Linked DNA regions of Struthio camelus. The protein of the gene in region 1 purifies or fractionates together with the protein of each later gene. This does not show direct contact. Links are inferred from orthologs where the notes say so. Each region holds a gene or a part of one and is shown on either strand. Other genes may lie near its edges. The genes, in order: PIP4K2A, STK11, UBE2H and AHCYL1.

Region 1 (7,763 bases):
TCTGCAAGAACTTTTTGGTGTGAGCGCTGGATACGGGCCTGGCCTGAGGCTCTGCATATGGTTAGGATTAGGGTTGACAGAAAGAGAGCCTAGAGCTCCACTTGGAGCAGGGCTAGAAAGGGACTACCACAGGGAAGTGTAGGCTGTGAAGTGAACTTGGCTGTAAAAACTTTTTGCTGTGGGCACTGGCTAGGGGCCTTTGTCCAAGGCTCAGCCTCCGCTAAGGGTTAGGCTTCAGTTAGCATTAGGGTGCAGAGAAAGAGAAAGCCTATTGCTGCAGCTGGAGTGGGGCTAGAAAGGGGCTTCCAAGAGAAAGGGTGGGCTGCAGAGAGAAATCAACAGGGGAAAATTTTTGGTGTGGGTGTTGGCTTGGTGTCCTGACACAAGGTTCACCCTGTGGTTATGTTTAGGGTTAAAGTTGAGAAGAGAGAGCCAAGAGCTCCAGCTGGAGGGGGCCTTGAAAGGGACTCCCAAAGAAAAGTGTGTAATATAAAAAGAATGTCACAGAGAGAACACTTTGTTGTGGGCATTGCCTGGGTGTCCTGGTCAAAGGTTCAGCATGTGGTTAAGATTGGGATTAAGACTAAGGAAAAACAGAGTTTAAGAGCGTCAGCTGGAGAGCAGCTGGGAAACTCCTGCTGATTGGAAGTGTAGGTTACAGGAATTTGGCTATGAAAACTTTTTGGTGCAGGCCCTGCCTGGGAAGGTGTGGCCCAAGGCTTTGTCTTCAGTTAGGTTTCTTGTTAGGGTTGGGAGAAAGAGAGAACCTAGAGATGAACTTGGAGGGGGTCTAGAAAGGGGTTTTGAAGGGAAGTGTTGGAAGCAAGAACTCGGCTGCAGGAACTTGGTGTGGGCACTGCTTGGGGTCCTAGGATAAGGCGGAGACTCCAGTTAGGGTTAAGGTTAGGATTCAGAGAAAGAAAGAGACTAGTGATGTAGTTGGAGTAGGGCTAGAAAGGTACTTTGAAAAGAAAGGGTGAGGTGCAAGGATAACTTGGTTTTGAAAACTTTTTGTTGTGGGGATTGCTTGAGGATCCTGGTCTGCGGCTCAGCATATGGTTAGGGTTAGGACTGAGAGAAAGAGAGAGCCAGGAGCTCCAGCTGCAGTGGAATTGGGAAGGAATTGCTAATTTTAAGTGTAGGATGTAAGGAGAACTTGGCTGCCAGAACTCTGTGGTGTGGGCACTGGGCACTGCCTGGCAAGACCTGGAACAAGGCTCAGACTTTGGATGGGTTTGTTTTTAGGGTTAAGGTAAAGGTTAAAGGTAAGAGAAAAAGAGAGACTAGAGCTCCAGTGAACACGGGGCTAGGAAGGGGTTGCTGAAAGAAAGGGTGAGCTGCAAGGAGAACTTAGCTCTCGTAACTTTTTGGTGCGGGCACTGAAATGGGGGCCTGGGATAAAACTCAAGATATGGTTAGGTTTATTGTTAGGGCTGGAGAAAGGGGGAGCGTAGAGGTCCAGTTGGAGGGGACCTAGAAAGAGGCTTTGAAAGAAAAGGAGAGGCTGCAAGGAGAACTTGGCAAGGGGAAATTTTGGGCGTCGACACTGCCTAGGGGGTGAGGTGTGATGTTCAGTCACCAGTTAAAGTTAGGGTTAGTGGCAGAGAGAAGATTTTATCGTGGACACTACTTGGGGATCCTGGACTAAGGCTCAGCATATGGCTGGGTTTAAGGTTAGTATTCAGAGATAGAGACAACCTAAAGCTTCAGCTGGAGGCAGGGCTGGGAAGGGACTGCCAAAGAAAAGGCTGGGCTGCAAAGAGAACTCAGCTGCACGATCTTTTGGTGTGGGTGCTGGCTGGGGGCTTTCCGGTCCCAGGCTCAGCCTCTGGGAGGGGAAGGATTATGGTTATAGTTGATGGAAAGAGAGGCTGTGGAGCTACACTTGGAGCATGGCCAGAAAGGAATTGCCAAAGAGAAGTGTAAGCTGCAAGAGTAATCAGCTTTTCTCTCTTCTGACAGTCACTCTGTCCATCTGCAGGTGCATCACGGCCTTGATGGAAGCCCTGGGACAGTGGGACATACAGGTACAGGGAGCCATCCCGTCCTCAGAAGTTTAAGGAGGCTGTGCCAACAGAATGCTAAGGTAGGAGCTGGTGATTTACAACGGCCTGGCAAACTTAGGCCCCCATACTGCGTGCCTCAAATCTGTGGCTGCCCCCTGATTTCTCCACTGACTGTAAAAGAAGGTGAGATTGATCAGGCTTCTAACTTGAGTATCAGGTGCCTAAAATTGGAGAAGATGAATCTGTGCCTCAGACCTTGTCTTGAAGAAGCCCAGGCCATTGATTTATTTTAACTCTGTAGTAAAAGTTATGGTCAACATCTGTTCCTCTGATAAAACAGAACCCTCCCTGCTAGGGCTTCAGAACCGCAGGAAGGAGCTCTTCAGAATCTAGGCCAAGATGACAAGAAAGTCCTCTGGAAAAAAAGAACGTTTTCCTTCTTAAGCCTTGCCTCCTTTATAATAAAGCTACCAAAATGCTTATTGTATATCATGTATTTATAAACCCAAAGGCTTCACTATGTGGATTTCTTCTGGAAAGAAGGTGAAAGACAAACATGTGACAAATGCTAGTCATGTTGATGTGCGCACCATTTTAAGATGCTCAGGTGTCATGTTCTAAGCATAATGTAAGGAATAAAATGGGTACTGATCTATTCTGAAAATCTGACTTCCAATCTATATTTAGGCATCTAAGCGACCTGCTTTTATTCAGAGGTGCTGTGTATTCAGCTGCTTCCATTGACGGCAGTGGAAAAAACTGAATTTTTCTTCTTGCTGAATCCTTTTTCAAGAACAAAAATTACAGTTGAGACACTCTCTTTAACTACTAGATAACTTCTTGCTTTAAAAAAAACACGAGGAATGAAACATATCATCTCTCTTTCCCCTAGTCTCCATAAGACGCAGAAAAGAGACCATGTAATAAATTCTAATAACTGCTTCTATGCAGAAGGAGGGAGATTAAACACGAAAAATTTGGATTCCAGCATGATAGATAACTTTCATATTGAGATCATGGAGGCCAAAGAGAAACAGAGGATGAGACACTCAACATGGTGCAAGCCTCTAAATTTATGAGCATCTGTGTAAGTATGTGTCATGGCTCTGAGTGCACCTTAGTTGCCCTAACCAGCTTCATCTGGAGCCCCCACTCACACCCTCTCCCCTTGGGCCAAGGAGCTTCACTTACGTTCAGGCCTGGGTGGAGTTCACGTTTTGGGCTAAGTTCAGGTCCTTGACTGAGCTATGCTGTAGGTGTACCTATCTCCAGCCCTGTCTCCCGGATGTACCTTGGACCTATGCTATAGGTAGCTTGTCTCTGGCCATGCTGTCTGCTGATGTATCTTGTATCTCTATTGTAGCTTTATCTTTGGCCCTGGCTCCTTTTGCTCCTGACTGGACTCTCTGGATGGACTCTGGACCTGGTCCATCACATCACCTTGTCTTGGACTCTTGATGAGTGCTGTTACCAGTGGCTGGCTGTGTCCATGGTGTTCAGGCTCTGTGAGACTGTGTCCTGTCAGTGAGGGCACTATCTGCCCTGGGGCCATCTTCAGCTCCTGGTTTGCCCACCCTCATGGAGTAGCCTTGCTCTTACAGCTCCCTCAAGATCTGCTGGCTTTGCTGAATGAACAGCCGATGAATAAAGCAAGAACTACAACAGTCAGGTCAGTTTGTATGATTCAGAATTTGATGGATGATTCATGTGCAGAAGATATATATACTTTGTTATCCAGGTGTATTGACTCAAAATAGTGACTGGAGTTGTCATTAAGGCACTATACAATGAAGAAAAGTGTATTAACGTTTCTTCCTAAGTTGGGCAGATGTGCCTTGGCAGGATGTCAGCCTATCACTGACCACATCCTGTGTGGTCATAGAGGCAGTTACAAAATGTTCTAATTGGGTATGATTAGGTGAGCACAGCTTATATGGGTGTAATATCTTTAAAGAACAAAGAAACTTCGATATGGAGTCCCTAAGAGACTGAGTTTTCAGTTTTTGCTGTACACTGAGTAAAAATAATAGATCTCAGTTCATAGGTTGGAGCTAGGCCGTGAAACAGCTGGCAGTGTTCTGCTGCAGAATGCCCTTTTCACTCCTAGACCTCTAACAAAAAATTAAAAAGTTGAATAAATATTGCAAAAGCTGCACAGAGTAACAACGTGTACCATCAGCTGGATAAAGATTAAGGCGATCCCAGGTTTTGTTTCCAAGTGGATTTGGAAGTAACAGCGTGAGGGCAGAGTTGACTAATTTTGACTCTTGAGACTGCTCGACAGGAAGGAAACAGGGGTGGGCGACGGGGAGCAGAACCTCCTTCTCCCCGGGCGCCGCGTTAGCCTTGGGCCCCGGGCGCTTCTCGGCGCTCCGTCTCCAACGGCCCCTCAGCGGGGAGCGGGGGCGCTCCCTCACCTCCCCCTTCCCCACCTCATCCCCTTTCCCTCTGCGTCCTTTCGCACTCGTCCCACTTCCTTTCTCCCCTCCTCCCCTTATTTCTGAGGTGTGTTTTTTTTTTTTTGCCCTTTCCCTGGTGCTCGCCCCGTCAGAGCGCCGACTTCGCGGCGGCGGGCGCGCAGGCGCCAGCCCCCATCCCCCCCCCCATACACTTCCCCCGGGCATGCGCAGTGAGGCCGCAAGACCCAAAAGTCCGAGGCGTTCCCGCGCCGGCTCTGGGGGCGGGGCGGTGCGTGGCGGGCGGGCGGTGGCGGCAGCGGCGGCTCCCCCGAGGGGGGGGAGGAGGCGGGGCCGTGGCGCGCGAGCGGGGCCATTTCAGCGCGCGGCGCAGGCGGCCAGGCCGGGATGCGCGCGGCAGCTTGCGCCGCCGCCCGCCCGCCGCCCCCGCCTCGCGCCGCCGCCTCCTCGCTCCCTCCCCGCGCGCCCCTCCCCGCGCGGCTGGGGCGCTGACTCGCCCCTTTCCCTCCCTCCCTCCCTCCCTCCCTCCCTCGCCGCTCTCCCCTCAGCCTCCCCCCGCCCCGCCGGCTGCGCCATGGCGGCCCCCAGCAACATCGTGCCCGTCATGGCGAGTAAAACCAAGACCAAGAAAAAGCACTTCGTGGCGCAAAAAGTGAAGTTGTTCCGGGCTAGCGACCCGCTGCTCAGCGTCCTCATGTGGGGGGTCAACCACTCGGTAAGCGCCGCCAGCGGAGCGCGGCCGCCGCTGCCCGCCGGGGCCGGGGCGCTGCGTGAGGCGCCGGCGGGGGGGGGGGCGGTGGCGGCGAATGTCACCGCGCGGGCGGCGGCGCGGCCGTTACCCGCTCGCGCCCGGGGCGGCGGCGCGGCAGCCGGCGGAGCCCGGGAAGTTTGTGGCCCCCGCGGCGGAGGCGGCCGGCTGCGGCGAGGCGGCAGCGCGGCCGGGCCCGCGGCGGCCGCCGTCTTATTGAATCGGCGGTGCCGGCCGTTTAAACGGTCGGCAGGACGCGTAAGGGTGGTGTCCGGGAGGCGACGGTGCTGCTCCTCCAGAAACGCGGGAGCAGGCACGGCGAGCATTGCATAAACGTACTGCGGTTGCAGAAAGAAGGGGGGGGGACGGCGTTATTAGCGCTTAACTACTGAAGTTTTTGCTGTCTTCAGTGCTGTTTGCAAGTGTCTCTTGATGGTTTTGTGCGTTTAGGGGAGGGGAAGAGGGCTCCTTTTTGGTGTGGTAAAGCAGCAGAATTACAACAGAATTGCAGCCTTTGCTGAGTGCTATATCACTCTGCAGATGATGTGCTGCTATATCTCCAAAGGATTCAATTTAACTAGATGCGGCAACACTGAACTGTTGCTGGTTAAGTGTTAAATTAGGAGCCTAGTAATGAGGGTGTCACATGGTTTGGGCATTATGAGGCTCAAGTCACAGCTTTACATCTTTATATAGCTACCATAGTAGGTTACAAGTGTAGAGCCCAAAGATCACCTAAAGTCACATATCAGGGCAGTTAAGCCAAAAACTTCTTCTGGTTTCTTAATGGTGCAAAGTCTGTACTTCCAAATGTTTTTACATGAATAGCATTGCTAGCAATTGGTACTTAAGAGCTTCTAAGAATAATTGTTGTTTGCAGTTTTAGACTACAATTTTTTTTTTGACAGCTTTATAAAATAGACAAAGTAGTCCTTGGCATCAAACTCTGCATTCCTTCTGTTTCCTACACCTCGGAATCCTATTTGTTTTTCTTTGTGTACATATAGTTGTTTTAGCCCCGAACCTGAAGTCCTGCATCAAGTCTAATCGCTGTTAAATCTGGGTGAGGCAGCACAATACCTGAAGTAATGATGTAGGGGGAAATGCTTTAGCTGTAGGTGTCAATGCAGTATCAATGACAGAAAATAAGTCCTAGAGAGGTTAAATAGTCCACTTAAGATAGTGCTGTGAGACGGGTGAAAATTATGGCACAGAACTTGTTTCAAAGTTTCCTGTAGATTAGTTGTAACCAGTGGCGTTCTGTGTCATGAACTGATCAGAAACCAGATATTTTTCTTCTAAATAAAAAAAAATCTCTCAACTGTGAAAGTCTGTGATATGCTATTTGCCAGAATTGGACTTAAATGCAGAAGTTTTTTCTACTTCTTCTTTAGTGGGACAAAGAAAGATAGAACTTAATGGCTGGTGTTTTTCATAGAAAAACTTCAAAATAGGTTTCTTCAGTGAAAGTAATCAACCTGGTAATTACAGGGTAAGATACTTCTGATGGATAATGTAAAGCTAGGTCTTGAACAGTGAGCAAGTTATCAGTGGTCTCTCTGGGATACAGGGGGAAAGAAGGAAAGAGAGCCTCTGACAAGAATACACATCATCCTGTTGCAACAGCTAGTTGCTACATAATGTTCATTCTGGAAATACTGCTACTTTCAGAGGAAAGAGCTGTGCTGTCTACCTGGTACTGTGTCTAATAACAAAGTAAATAGTAACAAACACGACACTGTGGTAACTCCTAAGCTCATATGCTACTACAGAGTATATAACTGTTTTGATTACAAAGTGTAAGGAAGAAGCAAACTGGTTCACGTGCATAAAACTAAAAGTCGTAACTTAAAATTCTGATGGGGGGAGGGTCAAAGAGAAAGCTTAGTAATAAAGTAGGTTCAGATAAACTAGATACTCTTTAATTTCTTTACCATGCTGCAAGATGTAATCATGAATAATACTTTGAACCAGAGTGCATGAAAAATAAGTTTGGCTTCAGTGGTGCCCAGTCTGATGTGTCATAATCTAAATATCTCTTCTTAGCTAAGAATACAGCATTTAAGTGTTGCGGGCTCCTCTGTTAGAGGAAAAAGCTGCTTACACTGTTGGTTTGCAATACCTGATGTGTAGGCATTTCAGGCATGTAATGTCTGATGTGCCAGCACTTCAGGATTTGTCCGGCAAATAAAAATGAGCAGTTAGTCTAATTGCAGCAGGCTCTGTTGTCAAAGATAAGAATTTATCATGGGAGAAATACAAAGTACATGCATGGATTGATTAACAATGGGGGTTAAGGATGCTTATATTTTCTTAGCAGAATAAACAGAAATCCATAAAATGTTAGACTAGGAAATGAGCATGAACATAGTTCATGATGATAGTAATCTAATAAACTTAGAGCATAGTAGTAAGCTGAAAAAAAAATTTATTGAAGTTTACTATCCACTGTCATGCATGTCAATTAACAAGGAAGTAGCAGTCTCCTATTCCTACGAAGCCAAATATGAGATGCAGTTCCCATATTTTTGGCACAATATGACATATACTGGAGGAAAGCTCTTGGTGAAGATCTAAAAGGAAAGCAGACTT
Region 2 (7,693 bases), on another chromosome or scaffold:
GAGACAAGCGGGGTGGAGGTGGCTGAGCAGTGGCTTTGTGGAGGCCTGCATGCAGTGAATTTTGCAGGTCTCAGCCCAATGCCCCTTGGCTCCTGCGGGAACCGGCTGAGCAGACCGACCTGTGCAGAGGCGAAGCTGCCGGCGCAGTCGCTGCAGGGAGCTGATGTGTCTGTGAGACCCCCAGTGAGGGACAGTGCTGGGGGCAGGCCTACAGGGACACCCGGCTTGTCCCAATCCCCCTGCCCGTTTCCAGCGGGAGGGATGATTTTGCCTCTGGGGAAGCCTGTTTTCCCACCGCCCGCGGGGAGGGGAGCGGGGCCGGGGGGAGCAGAGTGTGGCTGATGCAACCGAGCGGCAGCCGAAGCGATGGGGGAGCTGCCTCCCGCCCGGGTTTCTCTGCCGTGGACGGTTTCCAATCGATCCTGCCCTCGGCTGCTGGGAACCCGGCCCCCTCGGGAAGGGGAAGCACAGCGCTTACCAGAATTTGGGTGATCACTTTCCAGCACTTTGGACTCAGTGCCAAGATCGAAGTAAATCACATGTGGCTGGGTGCTGCCGTGAGAACAGCTGGGGAGGGAGCGGGGGGAAGCGGGGCAGCCGGCTCCTGCGGCCAGCCCTCCCTCCCCGGCCCTCTCCCGCCTTTGCCGTGCGGGACACCTCGTCCCCCGACAGCCAGCAGCGGGGCCGGGGCGAGACGCGGGCATCGCTCTGCCCCAGCCCTGCGGAGCCTTTGGGGAGCCCGGCTGGAGCTGCCACTGCGGCCCTTAGCTGGGAGGACGTGCTGCGGCACCGCTCGGGCCCCGAGGGGGGGCTCGGGGCTCTCTGGCTTGCGCTCCTCGCCCCATGTGGTGCCAATAGCTCTTGCAAAAAGGCAGCACTCAGGGATTTGTCTGGTCCCTCCTTGGAGTAACTGCTGAACTGGAGGTACTACCCTGAGCGCGTGATCCCAGCTGAGCCTGGGTCCATCGTGTCGCTAAAGGGCTTTTTTTAATCTCTAATATGAGTGTGCAGCAAGGCCTGGGAGGAAGCTGCAGCTGCAAACATCTTGGTTCCTCTGCGTGCATTTGAAACGGGCTGTGCAGTTTCCCACTGTGCCAACCTACCGCTGATCAATGCGAGCGATCGGCTGTTCCCTCGCTAACGTCTTCCCGCAGGACCCGGCGTGGCGAGGGGCTGCCGCAGGCGCGGAGCAAACCCTGGCGCAGCCTGGGCTGAGGGGAGGCGGTGGCAGCGGCATCCTGGCCGGGCGCTGCCTCCCCCCTGCTCGTGCCGTTCCCCGGGAGGAGTTTGCCTGCCCCGGGGCCGAGCTGTGCGGGGAGCTCAGCCGCCCCTCGTTTCCCGGCGGTGCCCCTCCAGGCTGCCTCCCCGCTGCCACCGGTGCCTCCCTCTCCCTCGTGGCAGCCCGAGCCCGGGACCCCTCGCCCTGCGTTGCATGTGGAAAACAGTTTTTCTCCTCTTGCAGCAGCTTTTTACCTGTTGGCATACTGTTTTTGTCTCCCCTCTCCCCAGCCACTAGGAAACACCACCGTGTCCAGCCGGGAGCTCGCCTGTGACACCCCCCCAGGACTAGCGTCCGTGTCCGTCCGTGCATCCCTCCGTCCACACGCTCGCACTGCCGCCTGCTGGAACGAGGCCCGTGCCAGGGCGGACGCACGGGGCTGCCGGGGCGGACAGGCCGGCCGCGGGGACCCTGCCACGGGCGAGCAGTGTGGCTGGAGGAGCCCACGGAGGGGGTTCTCCTAGCGCCCCTCGGCGGGGGAAAGCAGCAGGGTAGGTTCAACCCTTATCAGACACTAGAGAATCCCCCACCAGGGAAGTCGCAGTGTTCCCAGGGCCTCTCCCTGCCGTGCCAGCTCCCGCCCGGAGCTGCCGGGGAGCCGCGGCGCTCCTTTGGAGGACGCTCTGGCAGCTGCTCGGTCTCATCCGGCCCCATCCTGGCTTCTAGCGCGTTGCAGTGCCCAGGGCATCGCCCCATCCTGCCCCTGCCCGTGCCAGGGTCGTCTCGCTCAGGGTGAGGAGGAAATGCTGCCGGTGCCCAAATCCTCAGATGGCCTTAAAGAAAGTCCAACTCTTTCCAGAACTACTACAGCAGGGATTCCTGTAATTGCCCTCCTATTTTTCTAGCTTTTTCAAGCTCTAGTGCATGACCACAAGGGCTAGCAGTCTATTTTCACTTTTTAATAGAAGTAGATTCCCATGTAATCAAATCACTTTCAGAGCAAGGGTGTAAAATATCAGTTAATGCAAAATGTATAATAAAATAAGGAAAATCACAATTTATTCAAATGAAACTATTTTGCTTGTCAAAGAAGGGAATTCTCTCCAGTTTCTTCCTCCTTCGGTAACCTGCTGACCAAAAGCAAACAGCAGCAGCTGGAAGGAAGGTCAGACAAATAGCAGCCTTTGAAAACCGACCCCGAAGATGCTCCGTCCCTGCTGGGTGCCGCTCTGCTGACGGGAACGCAGCGATGCCACGGAGCAGCGCAGGCCGCGCTGCTTTCCGCACAGACCCGCTTGGCGGTTTTGTGAGCTCAGCCCAGGAGAGGGCAGGGTTGTGGCTCCGTGCTTGTCCCGGGTGTAGATGTTCCTGCTAAAATACGAGCAGAGAAGAACAAATTTAACACGGAGACTTTAGTGGAGAATCCAGATCATGGATGATTTTGAGAAATTTGTGTGCCTGCCTGTAGCTATCTAAACCTTGTTTAAAAAGTGCCAGACAGCAAACACAAAATAAGGACAGCTGTCAAAAAAAGCTTTCTAAAGCATGTAGTACAAATGCACTAGCCGGAGCGGGATACTGCATCCAGCAATGACAGAGAAAGTAAAAAAACAGAGGAACTGTGGAATCTATTGCCTCAAGAAGGCTTGGATTACATCTTAGGAAAAATCAGCCTAAAGATAGACAGGGTTCAGCACTGATGTAAGATATGCGGGGAGGGTGGGAAGATTTCTAAAAGTTAGATAAACATCTGCCAGAAACGATGTACATCTGAGCCTGTCTCAGAGGACTTCAGTTGTACTCTTTAGCTCCGTGTTTCTGCGCCTGGTTGTGCTAGTGGAGGAGTCTGTGCCTCTGCGCTGGTCTGTCCCATCCATTTAGCAGATAAGCTGTCAGTTGGGGATTATCTAGCGCAGCGTACGGTACGCCTCCCAGAGCCCGGGGGCCCACGGCGGGGTGAGCTCTAGGCGCTCCTGGTGAGACACAGTAAATAGTAAGGCGAATAAGTATTTTTAAGGTGCGAAAATGGTGAAAGGGACAGGATGGTATATGAGGGAGCATCTGGCATGAAAAATACAAACGATTTCTGTAAGTTTCCCAGTAAATGCATCTTCCATAACCTGATCCTGCTGCAGGAACATCCCTTGCTGCTCCGGTCCTCAAGAGTCAAGCCAGATGATTCTTAAAACAGGAGATATCCATGGCTAACCTGTGTTTTAAGAAGCAGCACAAGGGACTCAAAATACGATATTCTTTCTCCCTGTTGCACAAACAACAGGACACATAGCTAAAGGACACTGCGGTGTTTGTAAAGATGGGCAGTAAAGATTGCCTGCAGGTTTTAGGATCAGCAGGAGCGTGAACTCTGCTGACCTTGTTTCAGACTTGATTTAAACCCTTCCAGCCCGGAGCTGGCTTCCCCTTGGAGGCCGCTGGAGCTACCCCTGCGCACAGCAGCCTCTGAGGGACCGCAGATAAAAGGCAGCGTTCTATTTCATTTGCCATCCGTTAGTTATTATCCTGGAGCATGGAAATACACGTGTTGGGACAAAACATCCTAATCAAAATACGCAAGCGTTCTGGATTGTAGCAGTCCGGTCAGGAGCCTTCAGCAGAGGGATGGACAAGGCAGTGAAGTGTGGACGAACGGAGGGAGAAAGGGGACCGAGGTGGCAGAAACGGTGGACAGGCCAGCAGTTATCCCGGAGGAGGGAAAGGGGTATCCCCGCTGCCAGAGAGCTGCTGCGGCTGAATTCCCTGCACAGGCCGAACGCGCGTCGGATTTAGCACGAAACGTTCGGGCCAGCGGGTGGAAAAGGCTCCCAGGAAAGACGCGGCTGGGCAGGAGAGTTTGTGCTGCGCTTAAAAGAGGGCAGCGCCACGTCGCCAAGGGCTCCCGGGGGGCGCGGGGAAGGAGCTCTCCCCCCTTCCACCCTCGACCCGGCTCCTCGCAGCCAGGCCCGGGCCGGGGCCGGGGGCGGCGCGGTGCGGGGAGCCCCCGGGCTGGGCTGGCACCACAGGGCAGAGGCGGCGGAGGGCCCGGGAAGCGCAGCAGGAGCCGCCCGAGGCTCCGCGGAGGCGGCCCGGGAGCCCCGCGGCGCCGCCGGGCCCGGCCGCGCTGCCCGCGCCCCGTCGCCATGGCACCGCTTCCCCTGCGCCCTTTGCCCTTTGCCCTCCGTCCCCTCCCGCGTCTGACGGACAGACCCTTCGGCCTATCACAGCGCCCCGCCACCCGCCGGAGTAGGTAGGCGGGCTGGAAACGCCACGGGCCAACCGGAAACGAAAACCGCGAGGCCGGCCCCGCCCCCCTCCCCGCGGCGCCGCCGCAGCCAACCAGCGGGCGAGCGTGGGGGGGCGGGGCCGGCGGTGGGGCCAATGGGGGGGCACGTCGCTCGCCGGGGAGGCGCGAGGCCCCGGAGGGAGGGGGGAGGGCAGCGGCGGGAGCGCGCCGGGGGCCGGGGCCGGGGCGGGGGCGGGAGGTAAACAAAATGGCGGCGGCGTGCGCGCTACGGCGGCGGCGGCGGTGGTAACGGGGGGTGGCGGCAGCGGGAGTGCGGGCGCGGGCCCCGGGGCAGGGCCGCGGTGGCAGAGCAGCGGGCAGCGGCCGGCGGGGCCCCCCTGAGGCGCGGGGGGGGGGGGGGAGCGCGGCGCCGCCGCCGCCGAGGCCCGGCTGCGGGGAGGGGGGACGCGGCCGCCAGCCCTTCCCCCCCCCCCCGCCTCCCTTCCCCAGAGGCGGCAGCGGGGCGCGCAGTCGAGCAGCTGAACCTGCCTCCGGGGCTCACCCCCGGCCCTCAGGGGACGGGCCCTTGCCGAGAGGGCCCCCCCCCGCAGGCGCCCTGCTGTGGTGGGGGGGGGCTTGGCTGCGGCCTGCCAGGAGCCAAAGGTCATTCCCCCCCCCCCCCGGGGTCCCCTCTCTGCCTTCCGACCTGCCTGTGGTGGCTTGGTTGCACTGTGAGTGGTTTATCCCCTTCCCCCACTTTCTGAAGGGGTGGGTACAATATTGCTCATTTTCCTCTCTTTCCCCCCCCCCCCCCCCGACTGACACCTGTGGAAGGGGCTTGCAGAGGGGGAGAAAAGCCCAGGCAAGGTTAGCATCTCCTCATTGACCTTCCTTTGTTGGACAGGGAATGGGGTGTTTTGGGTACTGGACAGAGAGAATTACTTCTTCCTGGTTGTTCCTGTTTTAAGGTGGGTCAGTAAAGCTCTAGTAGGTTTTGCATTGTCTGACACCAGCTGACACCTGGACCAGTGGTGGAGACACATCATGTGTCAGGCGGAATCCGAGTGGTTGAAGGATGCCCCTGGGAGATCTTGATAGGCACCGAAGGCCTCAAACTTTTGTAGGCGTGAAAAGTGAAGAAATTAGAATTGATTCTGAAAACTCCTTCAAAGAAACTTGGTTCCAGCTTCCAAACGGCTGAAAAAAAAATCTTCTATACTTGTACCTGGAAGGTGAGGGCAGCAGGGCAGAAACGCTTCCCCTGCGATTCACAGTTTGGAGTTGGTGGCTATGATCTGCTAGTAATGGAAAGTCATGAAAGAGACTTGGCTGTTGTCTGTTTTTATGTGGTGACCTAAAGTCCCAGAGGATGACCTAGCACTTAAAAATCAAACTGGGCCAAGTTAAAGGCCAAGCTGACTTGAAGGAACCCTAGTGGTGGGACCAGGTCAGAAGTAAAGCAAATCCCAAACTGAGTGTATCTGGTCAAGGATATATTCTTTTTAAGAGACATTGTGTTACTGGAGCCAGGCCTGGATCTTTTAGCATCCAACTGAGCTGGAAGCAGCTCATAGTAATTTTTTGTTTTGTTTTTTTATTCATGTTTGTACAATCTTCTGGATATTTTTTTTCAAGAAGGAGTAAAAGGGAGTGTTGGAAACTAACAAACAGGATTAAAACCCTGAGCGCTTAAGGAAAACAGGTTAAGGAACTTAATCCAGGATGGATATGCAGGAGCCACAGCAGTTGGGTATGTTTGCAGAGAGTGAGCTGATGTCTGTGGGGATGGACACTTTTATCCATCGCATCGACTCCACGGAGGTCATCTACCAGCCACGGCGGAAAAGGGCCAAGCTCATTGGCAAATACCTAATGGGAGACTTACTTGGAGAAGGGTCTTATGGCAAAGTCAAGGAGATGTTGGACTCTGAAACCCTCTGTAGGAGAGCTGTCAAAATACTGAAGAAGAAGAAGCTACGCAGAATTCCCAATGGGGAGGCAAATGTGAAAAAGTGAGTAAATATTTCCAGTAGCTGGGAATCCAGGGAGTTAAATTTTATCGTTACTTTCCAACTGATGTTCTCTATCATTTAAAATAATGACAGCTTTGTGTTCTGGAAGTGCTTTCTAAACCATATGTACTCAGGAATCTCTTTACCGTTGAAACACAGCCAACTGTAAGGTGAAGGGTGCTTCTAAATGCTGCCCAACAGTGAGAGGAAGCTTATTCTCAAGGGCATGGGAAGCGCATCTGTCCCCTTGAACAGAAGAGTATATAACACATGCCCTTTCTTAGTTTCATTACAAAGTAAGAGAGAATCTCTGTTTCTAAAATTTCATGTCAAAGATGCATTGAAAACTGGTGTTTGTAGTGAACTCAACTAAGAAAGATGAGGGATGGTATAGCTGAGAGTGCAGAAATACACTTTGTATTGTTGCTCTCTCTTATTGTGTATCCATATAAGTGTGTGTGTGGTTCTTAAGCTCTTTAGGGTGGTAATTATTGCTACCACCCATGAAATAAGTGCCTGGAATGCATGATCCAGTGTATTATGCACCCAATGGGCATAGGAAGTCTTGGGTTTTATTCTTGGTTTCACTTCTAATTAATGAGTTTGGGAAGTAATTCAAGGCTCTTTTCAGTTGATTTCTCCAGCTGTAAAATGGGGACAAGGGTTGTCAAGCTCTTCTTTTCAGTGACTCAAGATTTGTGCTTGGAAGGTATTTCAAGTGCCAGTTACATACTGATTAGTCAGTGCACAAGTAACTAATTAAAATATACTGCGGGGAGAAGCCTGGTGTTATGCCTCATTTGTAAGAGTTGTTATTATCTGAAACTTTCCCTTTTCTTGGTGTTGTGCCCTACATGTGAGGACCTAACAGCCAGCTGTGTTTTCCACAGCAAGCTGTTTGTTACAGCCCAGCAAGATAGAGTTGTTTATCTGGTGTGAAGGGGAGCCTTCTGCAGCCAAAACAAATTATTTGTGACAGTTTATCTTATAGTGGGAGGGAAAACTTATGAGATGTTTAGAAGACTCTTGTATTACGTCTTTCGCTGTGGTGTGCTGAGTGTAGAGCCCTGACCTAGTAGAGTCTTGTTTCTGTTTCTCAGTTTGGTTTGAGTTTCCGAGCTCAGCTGCAAGATATTTCACATCCTGTACTGGGACTTCTGTCAGCTAGCTGTTTAAGTTTCCCTTTTAACCTTCAGTGGACACGCTTAGCTACAGAATAGCAACAAGTCTTTCATGCAGGGG
Region 3 (6,897 bases), on another chromosome or scaffold:
AGTAACAGAGCAGCCAATCCGCGGAGTTGCGAGCTCTGCCCGAGGCCTCTTGCCTGCAAACAGGGCTCGGAGGCCAGCGGCTGGCTCCGAACCGGGATCCCCGGCGTCCCCCCCGGGGGGCAGAGGTGCCCGGGCTCGTGGCAGTGCCCCCGCTGGGTGCGTGCGGCAGGCTGGACCGGGGACTGAGCGCAGCAACCCAGGAAATTTCAGAAATCGGGGAGAGGGATGGCAGCCGCCACCCCCCCCCCCAAAGGAGGGGGGCAACGCAGCGCGGACCCCGGCTGCAGGCCCTTCCCCAACATTCGCACAACGTTGGGAGCACGATCGGGGGGAGAGAGAGAGAGAGAGAGAGAGAGACAATGAGTGACTCAGAGTTTCAGCACATAATCACCCGGGCGATTATTAAACATCGGTTCAACACATTAACACACACGGCTCCCCCCCCCACCAGCCATCCAGGGAGAGAGCCCAAGCAACCTCTCCCCTTCCCTGCTCACAAAGACGCGTCCACAAAAGGACATGGACGTGTTAGGATTGAAAATAGGAATAATAAAAAAGACCCCACTCGGCTCCTAAACCTGTCAGAGCAGGAGAAGGCAGCAGCGTTATTCACTCACAACGTCACCCCCTCCCTATCCAAAAAGGTAGCCCTTGGCAGGCGATAAATCCACGCCATTATTCTAGACTGGAGACATGAAAAGAGGCTGAAAAGGGAAACTGTAACGAAAATGGCAGCAAAAGGGGGGGGGAAAAAAAAAAAAAACCCTACACAACAACAAAACCATCCAGCCCCAGGGAGGAGCAGCCTTCAAGTACATTCCTCCAGACTAGTCCTCTCTCATTTGGTCACCACCAAAACCATCCGTCGCTCCCACGGCTCGCGACAGACCCTTATTTCACATCAGCTCCCAGGCAGGAAGACTCCCAACGTACACGGAGCGAAGCGCCCGGGGAGCCTGGGCCTACAGAGCCGGACTCAGCCTGGGCAGGCTAGACAAGTCGGACGGACAAACAAAAAGGCTCGGGGAGGGAGGAGTGGAGGGAAGAGTCATCTGACATAGACAACTTCCTAAGTTTGTTGTCTGCAGGACACCGACCGCTCTAACCCTCGCCCTCGGACACCAGGGACGCCGCGCTGACAATAACGAGAGCTCTGCTTTTGGAAAACCCTTTGGTTTCTTTTGTCGGTGGCCGGGGGGTGGGGGGGGGGGGAGAGCAGAGCAGAAACCACCCAGCGTTGGGAGGAACGCCAAATATTTGGGGGCTTTCTACCTACCGCCACCGCTAGAGATATAGAACAAGTGAAGCCACTTCAAAAAAAATAAAAAGAAAGAAAAATCCCTGCTCTTTGTCTCCTAAAATGCTGGAATCGCTGGAGATGCCAGCTACTAAATGAACAAAAAAAAAAAAAAAGAGGGGGAGGGGAAAGGAGAGCAGCAGATCAGGTTGGGCCTCGGCCCCTCTTCAGCCCCGTCCTCTTTCGAGACTATGGCTAATGAAGATTTTTTTTTTCCCCCCTGCTAAACAGCTGGAATTCCCAACCCTCCTCCCAGCGCAATTAACCATCGATCGAAATTTGCATTCGGCAGAGTGTGACATGTGCGTAACTTTAAACCTCAGATAAAAATAGCTCGGATTCAACCATGATCGGTAGTCATTTCCTATTTGCTTAAAAAACAACACGAAAATATACCAAGAGCAGCTTTGTACAGAGAAACGCACACGAAACACCGACAGAAGTTTCCTTTGATAAGCCACCCTCACGCCACAAACACGAGCGGTATCGCTCTTCTTTCCCCCCCCCCCCTTTAAAAACACAAAATCCAAGCAAGTTTGTTTATCTCTCTGGGAACTCAATCAGATCTGTTTTACCGACCCCTCAACGCCACACGCAAAGTTAGAGCCACCGTCCCCCCCGAGAGGTTCAACACCTCCAGTAAACAGAGCCGAAAACATTTCGCTTGCTCTTGTCATTTCTACCCACCTCGACACACACCACCGCCTTGTAAGCAATAAATAAATAAATAAATACATAAAAACTATTAATTAAAAAAAAAAAACCAAAACCAATCCTATAGCCAAACCCCCACCGATATTTTCAATACCACCCACACTCCAGACAGAGAGAAAAGGATTTGCCACCCTGCAAAGGGCCAAGAAGAGTGAGGAGGAAAAAAAAACATATATAAATAAATAAATAAATATATATATATATATATAAAAACAGATCTATCAAGGAAGGGGTGGGGGGAAGCCTAGCCCAACCTGGAGCGTTACGTAAACGGGACCGCTCGCAAAACCGGCCGGGGGTCCGGGGCCGCACTGAGCCCGTCTCCCACCCCGCCGCCACGGGCAATCCCAGCAGCACCCTCCAGCCCCCAAAATATTAAAATCCCTAAGCCCAGCACCAGAAGCTTCGTGAACCGCAGGCTGAAACCGAGGAGTAAATAAAGATAAACACCACAAAAGCCTTTCTCTGGGCTGTGGCCGCGGGGGCAGCTTCCCCCCCCCCCTCAAACCCCAAGCAGCTGGGCCGCAGGCCGGGGCAGGAAAGGGGGTGCCAGCCACCAGGCTGCGGCCCTCGCTGGGTTTTTTTTCGGGGGGGGGGGAACCACGGGCTGTCAAACCGGGGAGCCCCCAAACAAGGCTTAGGATGGGGGGGGGGAGGCTTTCCCCACAGTGTGGGGGGGCCTCGGGGGGGGGGGCAGGTCTGACCCCAGGCAGGCAGGGAGGGAGCCCCGGGGAGGGGGCCTGGCCCTGCCGTTGCCCGGGGGGGGGGGGGGAGGGCCGGTGCTGCCCCCCCCCACCCCTCCCCGGTGCAGGCCCGCGGGGCTGTCGGCGGAGGGGTGGTGCGGGAAGGATACAGCTTGACCACGTCGGTGTCCATCCGCCTCTTGCCCGGGCTGGGGGAGGACATGGTGGCCGCGGCCGCCCCCGGTGCTCCGGGCGGGCTGTCAGCGCCGCCGCCGCCGCCGCCCGGGGCCGCCCGGCGCGGAGGGGAGCGGGGGGGGGGGGGCGCCGGGCTCCGAGCCGCTGGGACCCCCCCTCTGCCGCCGCCGCCGCTGCTACTGCTGCTGCTGCTCCTGTCGCCGCCGCCCTCCTGTGGCGGGGCCGCCGCCGCCGCCGCCGCCGCCGCCGCCGCCGCCGCCTCGCGCTCCCGCAGCCGCCGGCCCCGCTCCGCTCCGCTCGCCTCTGCCGGAGCCTCTCTCTGGACTCCTGACGTCACCCACAGTGACCTCACCGCCTCGCCCCGCTGCCATTGGCCGCGCCGCCGCCGTGACGGCAGCGCGCCGGCCCCGCCCGCTCGCCGCGCTCCGCCCCACCGCCTGCCGGGAGTTGTAGTGCGGCAGGGCGGGCTGCCGAAGGCGGAAAGCGAAGGGCGAGGCGGCGGGTTCGAGACCCCGGCGGGGCGACTTGGTTCCCCCCCCCCCCCCCCTCCACCCCCCGCAGCCGCCGCCGCCCCGCGGTGACACCGCCAGCGTAACCTCAGTGCAAAGCACCGCGTCGTCCTTCCCGCTCGCCCACAAGCTGGCCGCACGGCTTTCCCGCTCTCCGGCCACCTTTGGGGCCTGCTGCTGCTGCCACCATCCTTAAAACGCGGGTTGGCCGAACGGCCCCGTCCCTCGGCAGCTCCGGCCGGGTCGCCTCCCGGCAGCAGGGCGACGAGATCCCGCCGTGCCCCCCCCCCCCGCCTCGTGCCCCCGTTTAAATCATTCGCCTTTCAGCTCGTTCGCTCGCGAGGCCCTTTCTGTAGGGCTTTCGCCCGGGCGGCTTCCCAAACGGGCTTTGCGCCCGGGTCCGTAGCACGCTAACGAGGCCTTTCCACTAATGAGGGGAGACGAGGCTTCCAGAGAAGCAGAGCCTCGACGCCGGCGCGCCGCCTCCCGCCGGGGAGCCGCCGCCGGCCTCGGCCCTGTGGCGGGGCCCCGGGGGAGCCATTTTGAGCGTGGCCGGGTGTAAAGCCGGGGAGAGTCGCGCTCGGCGCCCGCGGGGCGGCGGGGACGGTGGTGCCGGCCGTCTCGTCCCGTCCCCTCCTGCCTCAGCCGGCATCACCGAGCTGGCGCCTGGCTCCGGCTCGTCACCTGGGGCGAGGGGGTTTGGGAGGGTCCCCCGTGCCCTGGGTGGCCCCGGCAGGGAAAATGGCTGCCAGGCCGGGTGTGGGGAGCTGTGGGGATTGGGGGAGCCATGGGGAGCTGTGGGGATTGGGGGAGAGCCATGGGGAGCTGTGGAGATTGAGGGAGAGTTGTGGGGAGCTGTGGGGATTGGGGGAGCCATGGGGAGCTGTGGGGATTGGGGGAGCTATGGGGAGCTGTGGGGATTGGGGGAGAGCCATGGGGAGCTGTGGGGAGCTATGGGGAGCTGTGAGGATTGGGGGAGCTGCGAGGATTGGGGGAGCTGCAGGGAGCTGTGGGGATTGGGGAGAGCCATGGGGAGCCATGGGGATTGGGGGAGCCATGGGGAGCTGTGGAGATTGAGGGAGAGTTGTGCGAAGCTGTGGGGATTGGGGGAGCCATGGGGAGCTGTGGGGAACTGTGAGGATTGGGGGAGCTGTGGGGAGCTGTGGGGATTGGGGGAGAGCTGTGGGGAGCCATGAGGATTGGAGGAGCTATGGGGAGCTGTGGGGATTGGGGGAGCCATGGGGAGCTGTGGGGATTGGGGGAGACCTGTGGGGAGCCATGAGGACTGGGGAGCTATGGGGAGCTGTGGGGATTGGGGAGAGCCATGGGGAGCCATGGGGATTGGGGGAGCCATGGGGAGCTGTGGGGATTGAGGGAAAGCCATGCGGAGCCATGGGGATTGGGGGAGCTATGGGGAGCTGTGGGGAGCTGTGGAGACTGGGGGAGAGTTGTGGGGAGCTGTGGGGAGCTTTGAGGATTGGGGAGCTATGGGGAGCTGTGGGGATTGGGGGAGCCATGGGGAGCCATGGGGAGCTGTGAGGGTTGGGGGAGAGCTGTGGGGAGCCATGGGGATTGGGGGAGACCTGTGGGGAGCTGTGGGGATTGGGGGAAAGCTGTGGGGAGCTGTGGGGATTGGAGGAGCTATGGGGAGCTGTGAGGATTGGGGGAGCTGTGGGGAGCTGTGAGGATTGGGGGAGACCTGTGGGGAGCTGTGGGGATTGGGGGAGCCATGGGGAGCTGTGAGGATTGGGGGAGAGCTGTGGGGAGCCATGGGGATTGGGGGAGCCATGGGGACTGTGAGGAGCCACGAGGATAGGGGGAGCCATGGGGAGCTGTGGGGAGCCATAGGGATTGGGGGAGCTGTGGAGAGTTGAGAGGAGCCATGAAGATTGGGGGAGCCATGGGGAGCTGTAGGGATTGGGGGAGCTGTGGGGAGCTGTGGGGATTAGGGGAGCCATGGGGAGCTATGGGAAGCTGTGGGGATTGGGGGAGCTGGAGGAGCCACGGTGACGGGTGGGAGCTGTGGGGAGGGGGGGGGAATCCATGGGGAATTGTAGGAGGCAAGGGGAGTCATGGGGAGCAGAGGGAGATAGGGCAGACAGTTGGGGAAGGGGCTCCTCCATGCCCTGCCCTCTGGGGCAAGGTGGAGACACCCTGTGCAGGTGGGACACCCAGAGCCAGGGTGAGGACACCACGGACAGGTGGGACACCCAGAGCTAGGTTGAGGGTACCCTGGGCAGGTGGGACACCCAGAGCTAGGATGAGGGCACCCTGGCCAGGTGGGACACCCAGGGCAAGGTGGAGACAGCCAGAGCCAGGGTAAGGGCACCCAGGGCAGGGGTGCACGTGTGAGAGAGGGAGACCAGGAATGCCGGCCCGTGCGTTTGTGTGTGGGCACGTAGCATCTTCGTGCTGGGCCCCTCTCGCAGCGGGGTGCCCTGGGGCCCTGAGCGTCTCGTGGCTGTATCTTGTCCCGTGGCCCCATGTGATCCCCCAGGGCTAAGCCTGCTCTACCTCCGTTCCCGACAACTCCTGGGCCACGGCAACCAGGGGGTGAAGGCACTCCTCGTTAGGCCGTGTCCCATGGGTGTCGTGGGGCTGCGGCAGAGGTGATGCCATGCCCAGGCACCCCAGGCACCGGCCCCTTCCTTGGTGCTGCTGCCTGCTTTTCCCCTGCACCGTTGCCAACGGTGCCATGACCAGCCTCCGACTGATTACGACATCCATGTTTTTCAGTGCTGGGCACCCAAATGGCCTGGCCCTGCCCAGCCTGCAGGCTAATGTCACACCGCCTTCTGAAGTCAAAGCGGCAGAGGAGCATGATGGAGTGCCCTGCATCTGGAGAGGAAGGGCCACAGCAGCATTTCCCGGGGAGCGGTGCAATTGGGTCTTTCTCACAAAAGGAAGACAAACTACCCTGATGCAAACCACCCTCTCGCCCCATCAGGCCTGCACCAGAGCCTCGCTCGCCCCAGCACCCAGCCAGGACACGACGCAGCGAGGGATGGCGGTAGTGACTCCCTGCTGCAGGGAACAGAGGCTCCCATCTGCCAACATGACCTGTCATCAAGAGAGGTTTGCCGCTTGCTGGGGGCTCGGATCCGGGATGTTACAGAGAGGCTGACGAGGCTTGTCCAACTCTTGGGACAATTACCCCTGCTGCTCTTCCAGGTGGCACCAACGATACTGCCAAAGGCAGCTTGGGACGTATCGAACATGACTACAGAGCACTGGGGGCAGTGGTCAGCGGTATGGGGCCTGGGTGTTTTTCTCCTCAATCCTGCCAGTGAGGGAAAGAGTGTGAGGAGGAGTGGACTGATGCTGCAAGTCCACAGTTGGCTGCACAGCTGGCCCAACCAGGTTTCGGCTTCTGGGACCACGGGACCCTGTTTGAAGACAGCTGTCTACTTGGGAGAGATGGGATCCCCCTCACCAAGCAGGGCAAAAGCATCTTTGCCAACAGGCTGGGCGACCTGGTAAGGAGGGCTTTAAACAAGGA
Region 4 (7,904 bases), on another chromosome or scaffold:
CCACCTAAGTTCTTTGGCTGTCACCAACCTGAAGTAAACAGATTCTGCAGCAGCAATAAGCTCGTTACCAAGGCCACCGTATTGATCCCAAAATGTAATTAAAATTCACAGTTCAAGCAGCCCAGTACGACAGGGCAAGCGGGGCGGCCTCCCAAGGGCATGAATAGCCACAGCTTCCGCGTCCCGCTTTCCCAGAGGCAGGGAGCCCCCGGGGTCAGCGAGGGAGGAGACCAGACACACACCAGCCTCAGCCTCCTGGGCTGCTCAGAAAACACCCCAAACGGCAGCCCTCTGCTTGCACCACCCACTGAGACATCCAAAAGCACCCATTCCCCATGTCCTGCCCCGTTGAGGGTTAACCACATTGGGGGAGCATGTCGTGATGACGTTCAGCCCAAGGTTAAAGGGGTATGGTGCAAAACAGGCTGAATCAAAGGGAGATGGTCAAGATATAAACATGACCCAAATCGTGGGACAGAGCCGTTCAGATACTGTAGAGGGCTTTGATGGAGGGGCTCTGGAGTACCCCACCGCGGTGATAACAAGATGGTCCTCCTCACCAACTCTCCTCTGCAGGACTCCCTGACCTTCCTACGCTGGACCCAGCCTTCCACTGATCCAATCCGGTCCCTTAACTCACTGATAAAGGGGGATCGGGCCAAGCGGTTATAAATTGCAGAAGCATTAGCTCAAGGTCCTTTGCACCCATTGCTCTACGGCACCAGCAGCAGGCTCTAGCACAGTCACCTCAAACGTCACCACAATCTGCTCAGTGAACGTGAGTCAGAGTCCCCAGATAAGCAGCGCTAATCAAAGAGCTCCACAGGAAACGCAACAAGCCTTCTGCAAACGGGAACGTCGCCACAGGAAACTCCTAATGATAAAAACACAGTCAGGCACAAGCAAGCCTCCTCCACTGAGTGCTGCTCAGAGCAGGCAAGTCCCACTCTTCCTCTTGCTCAAACACCTGGGACAATCCACTTGCCGACCCCTTGGAGGAACCACATGAGTAAGATCCTCACCTGCAAAGCTCTCTGTTTAGCCAACCAGTTATCTGAAAGGGTCAACTCCAACCCAGCCCTGAAGGGCTTTTTCCAGAGCAAAAAAACCAACCTCAAAGCACAACCTGTAGCAGGGAGCACAGAACAGACTCCAACATTTGCACAGGCTGGAAAAGAAGAATGGTGAAAACTGTCAGGGTCCCAAAGAAAGTATTGTTATAGGCTGGTCCCTGGCACAAGACAATCTCACATTTTGGGAAAGGCCTCAAGAAAACACCACTCTTCTGTCATCAGCCCACTTCCCATGCTCCAGACCTGGCGGCTCACATGGAAAGGAGATTTCCACCAAGAAATCTCAAAGCCCAGACTGGAAATGGAATGGGGCAAGTAGGACAACCAGCACTGTTCAGATGGGCTGACCCCAACTCCCACACAACTGCAGCTGGCACCACTAAAACAAGACAAGAGCTGCTTCTGAAGACTACAGGGAATGAGTAGCCAACTCCTTTCCTATCTCCAAAGACCAGACATCAGAGTGGAAACCGAGCCTACCTCATGCGACTGCAGGAGGAGGAGAACAGAGATGCAAAAAACCATTTGCCATGGCACGTCATTTTGAAGATGGCTCATTTTCGGTCAGATCCCCAAAAGCTCCTTTCTTCCTGCTCTTCAGTTCAAGGAGAACTTAAATCAGCATCTTTTGGTCTTGCAGCAGGGCTGGGTCACAGGGACAGACCTCCCTTACTGACAGCAGCGAGACTCTCCAAGAAGTCAGAGTGCTGAGAAGGACCCAAGGGGAAGAATGACTTAAAACATAAATAATTAAGATTTGGTCATTTAACACAGCACCACCAATGACCTGTCTGCTTCCAGCGCCCAGCAATTGCAAAGTAAATCATCTTAGCTCAAAACACCCTTGTGGGTTGCACTCGCCATGGGTTAGGGATACAATCAGGTCAGGCTTGAGCTGATCATCTAACCGCAGCAATGCGTTCACATATTACTGCCTTTTTGCACCCCAAGAAAGGCCAGATCTATCCCAGATGGTGTGTGAAGAGCAGAATGATCCCTTAACAACATCCCAGCCTAAGCAGCTCATTGTCAAAAGGAAAACCTGCAGGGAGACGAGAAGAGGGTGAGAAATCAAAATACCATAGAGGATTTGGGTAAGGAGGTGACAATCACATGCACCACTAAGCAACCAAGCAAGGAGATGGTGGGACAAGCACCCAAAGGCAGAGGAAGATTTACAAGCAGTCTGTCCGCTTAAGGGATGAAATAAAAAAGAGAAAAAAATAAGCAACTCTAGAAGCTCTGTCAGAATAAACAAGGACAACCTTGTCCTCCTGACAGATCTAAGGCAAAGATAGACTCATTAGCACCCTGCCTGAGAGAGCAGAACCGCAGAGACCTGAGACAACCTGGGACTAAGAAAAAAAAGGCAGAAAGCCCAGCTCCAGGAAGGGGCTGTGCAAGGAGCAGGGACAGAGCAGACTGCAGCAAGGTCAGACACTGCTCAGGCAGCGAGAGTGCAGCTCATGCAGGCGACCTTAAAAAGCAGCAGCAGAGATGATGCTTTGGGGAAGGCGGCAAGCCCTTTCCAGAGGATGGCAATCCTCCTGTCAGCTCCCCAGCTTTTCCCTGCCCCGTCCCCTTCCCCTGCTCCCATCTCGTGCCACCCCTGCATCCGCCAGCACGCGGCTCCGGCTCGGTACCACTGCAAAGCCGCAGCACGGTGCATTAGCATTCTCCTCTGCACCGCCAGCACACAGCCTCAGCGGGGCTCCTCTGACGCCAGCATCCGCAGGGTCGCGGCGACCAAACCCGCAGAGCCCGCGCCGTTTGGCCCCCGGCCGCGAACCATACTGAAACGCAGGCGACGGGCTTGCCGGCTTCGCGAGGCACACGGGGGTGCCGCGAAGCTTACGCCTCCCCGAGGGCAAATTAGAGGCTGGAGCCCATTTCACGCTCCAGCTCTGCTGCATGAATAAGCAGATCGGTGTGCAGAGCCGGAGCACGTCCGTCTGCCGGCACCCAGGTGCGAAGGAGCAGGCGAGGAGGGGGGCACGCACCAGGGGACCACAGTCCGGACAGACATTGCGCGCTCCCTCTGCTTTGACACCGTCATCCAATCTCACGGGACAGCGGACGCCACGCGACAAGGGTACAGCCCGGCTCGGGCACAGTGACAGACAGGGACAGGGCTTGTAAAGCCCCTTTGCTCTGCCATCAGTCTCTAGGCACAGTGTCACATCGCGCCCCGCTCTAGGGCACACGTAGCTCAGCTCGGCCGGGAGTTTAAAGGCTCCGCTGACCGGCTGATTTGACAGCAGTTGCTTTCCAAATCCAAGGGCACCTCCAGAACTCCAGGGAGACAGAAGAACCGATGCCCAGATGCACTGGTGATGGGACCCGGGGATCTAGAAGAGCACACCCTGCCCTTGAGCTCTCCTTTCCCTGCTTAGACGAACCCATATTCACTTCTCCCTGGGCAAGGCACCCCAAAATTGCTGGTTTCCAAAATCCCCCAGCAACATCTAGGCACACACTGGAGAAAGTAAAAGGCTCAATATCGCTCACCTCTGCCTTCAAACCACTCTCTGCCAAGGAACCGCCTCACTCTGACCAAAGCTGGTGTTATTTTGCTGACAGCCCAATTTCCAGTAAACTGCAGCAAAAAGGGAGCTTCGGCACAGCCAGACAACCCCAACTCCTGGAGGAAAACTGACCACATTTCTGCAGAAAGGCTACAGCTCTCTTCCCCTCAACTACTTTGGCTCCTACTTAAACCCGGAGTTGATCGCGTTTAATCTCTTAATCTCTTACCTCCTGCTGTTTCACTTTTTCACCTTAACCAAGTCAATGACAAGAGGGAAAATAAATATGTCAGAGATCCCCCGGGCTGGTTACGTAGCTCACAGGATCGCTCCAGGTGCCTCCAGGGCAGTGTAGCAAAGGCCAGGAGCACGGTGACTTCTTCAGAGGACGCACGGGGCCAGCGTGCCCTCCGGCTACATCGGAGACCTTCCTCTAGGGCCGAGCTGGGCTCTGACTTCGGGAAACCACAGCATCAGCTCCCCGGCGCCGAACACGGGACACTCACGGGCTCCTCGCGCCAGCTCCTCTGCAGCGCACTGGCACTTTCTGCAAGCGCTGACACAAGTTAAGGCTCTTCTTTGAAAAGCTATTGAGCAGGGCACACAAAGGAGCCGAGCCTGCGCTAACCTTGGACGCGTTCCCTCCATCTCCAAAGCCTTATGCAAACTACATCGCCAAAGTTCAAGGAACCAAACACCGAGCCGGGACGCTGCTTCAACAGCGCTCCGCGATTCCCTCTACCTCCACGCAGGTAAACTAATCTGTCTCGACCATCTCTGACCGCGCGGAGTGCTTCAAAGACAGAAACACAGCAAGTGCGCAAGTCACTTTGACTCACATTTAAACAAAAAGAGCATTTTAAGGGTTTCACGGTGATCCTGCTTTGAAGACATAGGAAAACGCCTTGTGCTGGGGGCACTCAGCAGCTTATCTCAGGAGGGCAGTTCTCCCCTCCTCGTCCTTTCGTTCCCCTGCCAAGGCCGCCGCACTGACTGAGCGCTATTCACAGTAACTAGCCAGGCAAGGAAAACAGCGGCCCAAAGCGTTTTGTTCCTTGACCTCAGCTGCATCGCGCACTCCCCAAGATCGCACTGCCTGCTGATGTTATCAACCTCAAACAACTTGCGTTGCTCTGGGCACCTTTAATAGCATCACCCAGACGGGAAAGGCTGCAGCAGCCACAGTCTGATGGTTGCTCTTCGGCTGTGAAACAAGCCTGTAAGCACAGCAACTTCAAGGGGGTAATGCAACACCCCTTATCCCCACAGATACGAGCAAAGCCCATGAGGGTGCTGGACTGATTCCCTCTCCACACGCACGTTGCTTTCCCTTCTGCTACTTGTATTTTGGCCCTGTAAGATACTTGAGCAGTAGTAGTTCGCTCTTCCTTCTCAAATCACCTGGCTGGTAATGTTCACACAGCCATAGACTCGCGCTTTTAACTAAACAGCTCTTGTGGAAGATGTTGACGATAAAAAGGAAAGAAAAAAAAAATCGCCCGAGTTTGAGCCATGTCTGGCTGTGCCGCCGAGCCACCTCTGGGAAGAGGCAGATCCCAGCTCCGCATTCCTCTGCTCCTTGCTCCAGGCGACGTCCACAGGCCGGATAAACACACGCAAGGCGCAGGGAGACCCACCAGGCCCTCCGCTCCCTGGCGGCCGCGCGCCAGCCCGAAAGCCGGGACGAGGAGAGAGAACCCAAACGCAGCCGACTGTCAGCGGCCTTTCCACAAGGGCCTACCGCTCCCCTAATCCCACGGCTCGCCGGAGCAAAAGACGCATCGCCCGGAGAAGGAAGACATTTGCATTCGCTGCGACTGCTCTGCCCTCGGCTCCCAGCTCCGAGGCACGCGGCTGCAGCCCCGGGGAGAACGCAATGTTCGGCACGGCAGGGACCTCCGGGTACCCGCGCGGCGCCTCGCGGCACAAATCCACCGCGCTGGCAGGAGCCGCGACTTCAGCGGCCCGTTAGTGAAGCTCGGCGCCCAGCTAGGCAACGGCACGCAGGCGTCCGCTCGCTCTCGGCCGGCCAAGCACCAGCCGATCTAAAAGCCGGGTCCTGCTAAAACAGCCATCCGACTTCGCAGGCAGAGCTCACCTGCTCGCAAGCCCCATCCGGGTGCACGCTGACGGTTATGCAAGCAGGGCTGCTGTTGGCTGGGGGGCAGCCCAGGGAGATTTTGGGAACTCCTTGGAGAAGGTCTTTAAGGATGAAAGGGTGAAGAAGCGACGTGGGAGAGCTCAGAGCTGGGGGCTGCTCTGGCAGCCTCTGTCCCAGCCCAAACATGATCCCACCCAAGCCTCCAACGAAGCGCCCCGTCCCCAAAAGTTCAATGCTCTGAATTTCCTATTGCTGCCCTTCAGGGTGACCTACAGGAGGATCCCCAGGTCACCGCAGCCAGCTCGCTCCATTTAATGGGTCCCCCCAGCCCCCTTCCACCTGCACTCCTGCCCTGGGGACACCCTCGAGGCACCCTCACGCCGTGGGGTGCCCAGGACCCCACCAAACCAGCCCCTCTGCTCCTCCCTCGATTCAGCCAGCCCAGCTCCACGGTGCTGAACAGGACCCATTGGTGCTGCCCTCACCCTGGTACCAGCTGCCCTACCAGGGCTGACCCCAGCACCTTCCAGATGAGGCCACGCCACACCGGGCCACGGCTCCCCACGCCGCTGGTACCGGTCCCCCATCAGCACCTCCCCTGACCCAAACTGGGCCAGGGCCGTATCCCAGTACAGGCCCCTCAGCACCGAGTCTGCCCCCCTCAAACTGGGCCAAGAGCCCCTTTCTGGTACCAGCTGAGCCCCAAATGGGGCCAAACATGGTTTCCTGGTAGCAGCCCCCTCTGAACCTGGTACCTGCTTCTCTCTCCCCTGTTGAATGGGGTCAGGTCCCTCTTTCCAAAACCCTCAAGCTGCACTAGGTGCCCCTTTCCCAGTACCCTCTTCCCAACTGGACCAGCCCCCTGTTTCCCAGTCCAGCCCCCCTAAGAAGTGGGCCAGCACCATGGCCTGGCCACCTTGAACTGGGAAAGCCCTGGCCCTGCTCCCCCATGAACCAGGACAGACCCCGCTCCCCGGCCCGCGACAGACCCTGCTACCCATCCTCCCCTCCCCGGCCCCGGCCCGCCACGGCCCCCGCTCCCCGGCCCCGAACCGGCCCCGGCCCGCCACGGACCCCGCTCCCCGGCCCCGAACCGGCCCCGGCCCGCCACGGACCCCGCTCCCCCCCGCCCCGAACCGGGCCGGCCCCGATGCTGCCCGCCGGTACCTTCTTGGGCGCCTTGGTGACGGTGGCCATGAAGGAGTACTTCTCGGCGTCCTCGATCTCCTTGGCCTGCTTCACCTCGTCGCCGCCGGCCGAGTCCGGTACCGACATCCTGCGGCGGCGAGGCGGGCCGGGGCCGCGAGCGGCGCCGGGCGCGGAGCGGAGGGGCGGGGAGGGGCACAGCGCTGGGCCCGGCCCGGCCCGGCCCGGCTCGGCTCGGCTCGGCTCGACCCGGCCCGGCCCGGCCCGCTCCGGTGCCGCCGGCTCCGACCACTCTGCGGCGCGGACCTGCAGCCGCCGCGCTCGGCGCCAGGGGCGGAGCTGCCCGCCGCCGCGACGTCAGCGCGCCCTGACGTCAGCACGCAGCCGCCTGGCAGCGAAGCCGCACGCCGGGGCCGGGCGGCGGCGCGGCGGCGCCCCCTGGCGGCGGGAGGGAGCCGGGTTTGGGGTGAGGCGGGAGGGAAACGGGGAACCGGGAAAAGAGATTGCAACCGACGCGGGAAGAGGAGCGCAAACCAACGGACGGGCGGCAGGCGGGGCAGCGGGGACACGCGGGGACACGCGCCCGGTGACACGGGGACACGCACACACAGCCGGGGCACGCGGGGACACACGCACACACACGCGCGTAGCAGTGCGCACACACACACACACAACCGGCGCACACAGCAGCACGCACAACCGCACACATAGCAACACACACATGTGCAACCGGTGCACACAGCAGCACGCACAACCGCACACATAGCAACACACACACACACACACACAACCGGTGCACACAGCAGCACGCACAACCACATGCACAGCACCATGCACACACAACCGGTGCGCACAGTGGCACGCACAACCCCACGCACAGCACCATGCACACACAACTGGTGCACACAGCAGCACGCACAACCACACACATAGCAACACACACACGTGCAACCGGTGCACACAGCAGCACGCACAACCACACGCATAGCAGCACGCACACACAACCAGTGCACACAGCAGCACACACAACCACACGCATAGCAGCACGCACACACAAGC

What was found.
Region 2: the proteins of PIP4K2A (region 1) and STK11 purify together in Homo sapiens (affinity purification with mass spectrometry; 3 studies listed by BioGRID and IntAct, counting the BioPlex papers as one, with this or other methods). This does not show direct contact. The link is inferred for Struthio camelus from reciprocal best matches to the Homo sapiens genes PIP4K2A and STK11.
Region 3: the proteins of PIP4K2A (region 1) and UBE2H purify together in Homo sapiens (affinity purification with mass spectrometry; 3 studies listed by BioGRID and IntAct, with this or other methods). This does not show direct contact. The link is inferred for Struthio camelus from reciprocal best matches to the Homo sapiens genes PIP4K2A and UBE2H.
Region 4: the proteins of PIP4K2A (region 1) and AHCYL1 purify together in Homo sapiens (co-immunoprecipitation; 3 studies listed by BioGRID and IntAct, counting the BioPlex papers as one, with this or other methods). This does not show direct contact. The link is inferred for Struthio camelus from reciprocal best matches to the Homo sapiens genes PIP4K2A and AHCYL1.

Annotation. Positions count from the first base shown.
Region 1 is NC_090943.1:21,264,340-21,272,102, forward strand, and holds the start of PIP4K2A (phosphatidylinositol 5-phosphate 4-kinase type-2 alpha), read left to right. Parts: upstream 1-4,760; 5' UTR 4,761-4,997; coding exon 4,998-5,138; intron 5,139-7,763. UniProt on the Homo sapiens protein: Catalyzes the phosphorylation of phosphatidylinositol 5-phosphate (PtdIns5P) on the fourth hydroxyl of the myo-inositol ring, to form phosphatidylinositol 4,5-bisphosphate (PtdIns(4,5)P2). Has both ATP- and GTP-dependent kinase activities.
Region 2 is NC_090967.1:7,175,394-7,183,086, reverse strand, and holds the start of STK11 (serine/threonine-protein kinase STK11), read left to right. Parts: upstream 1-4,687; 5' UTR 4,688-4,745; intron 4,746-5,407; exon of another isoform or gene 5,408-5,452; 5' UTR 5,453-6,161; coding exon 6,162-6,451; intron 6,452-7,693. UniProt on the Homo sapiens protein: Tumor suppressor serine/threonine-protein kinase that controls the activity of AMP-activated protein kinase (AMPK) family members, thereby playing a role in various processes such as cell metabolism, cell polarity, apoptosis and DNA damage response.
Region 3 is NC_090942.1:1,893,328-1,900,224, forward strand, and holds the start of UBE2H (ubiquitin-conjugating enzyme E2 H), read right to left. Parts: upstream 3,001-6,897; 5' UTR 2,918-3,000; coding exon 2,865-2,917; intron 1-2,864. UniProt on the Homo sapiens protein: Accepts ubiquitin from the E1 complex and catalyzes its covalent attachment to other proteins. E2 ubiquitin conjugating enzyme that transfers ubiquitin to MAEA, a core component of the CTLH E3 ubiquitin-protein ligase complex.
Region 4 is NC_090965.1:4,283,033-4,290,936, reverse strand, and holds the start of AHCYL1 (S-adenosylhomocysteine hydrolase-like protein 1), read right to left. Parts: upstream 3,002-7,904; 5' UTR 2,987-3,001; coding exon 2,717-2,986; intron 1,750-2,716; exon of another isoform or gene 1,632-1,749; coding exon of another isoform or gene 1,554-1,631; intron 1-1,553. UniProt on the Homo sapiens protein: Multifaceted cellular regulator which coordinates several essential cellular functions including regulation of epithelial HCO3(-) and fluid secretion, mRNA processing and DNA replication.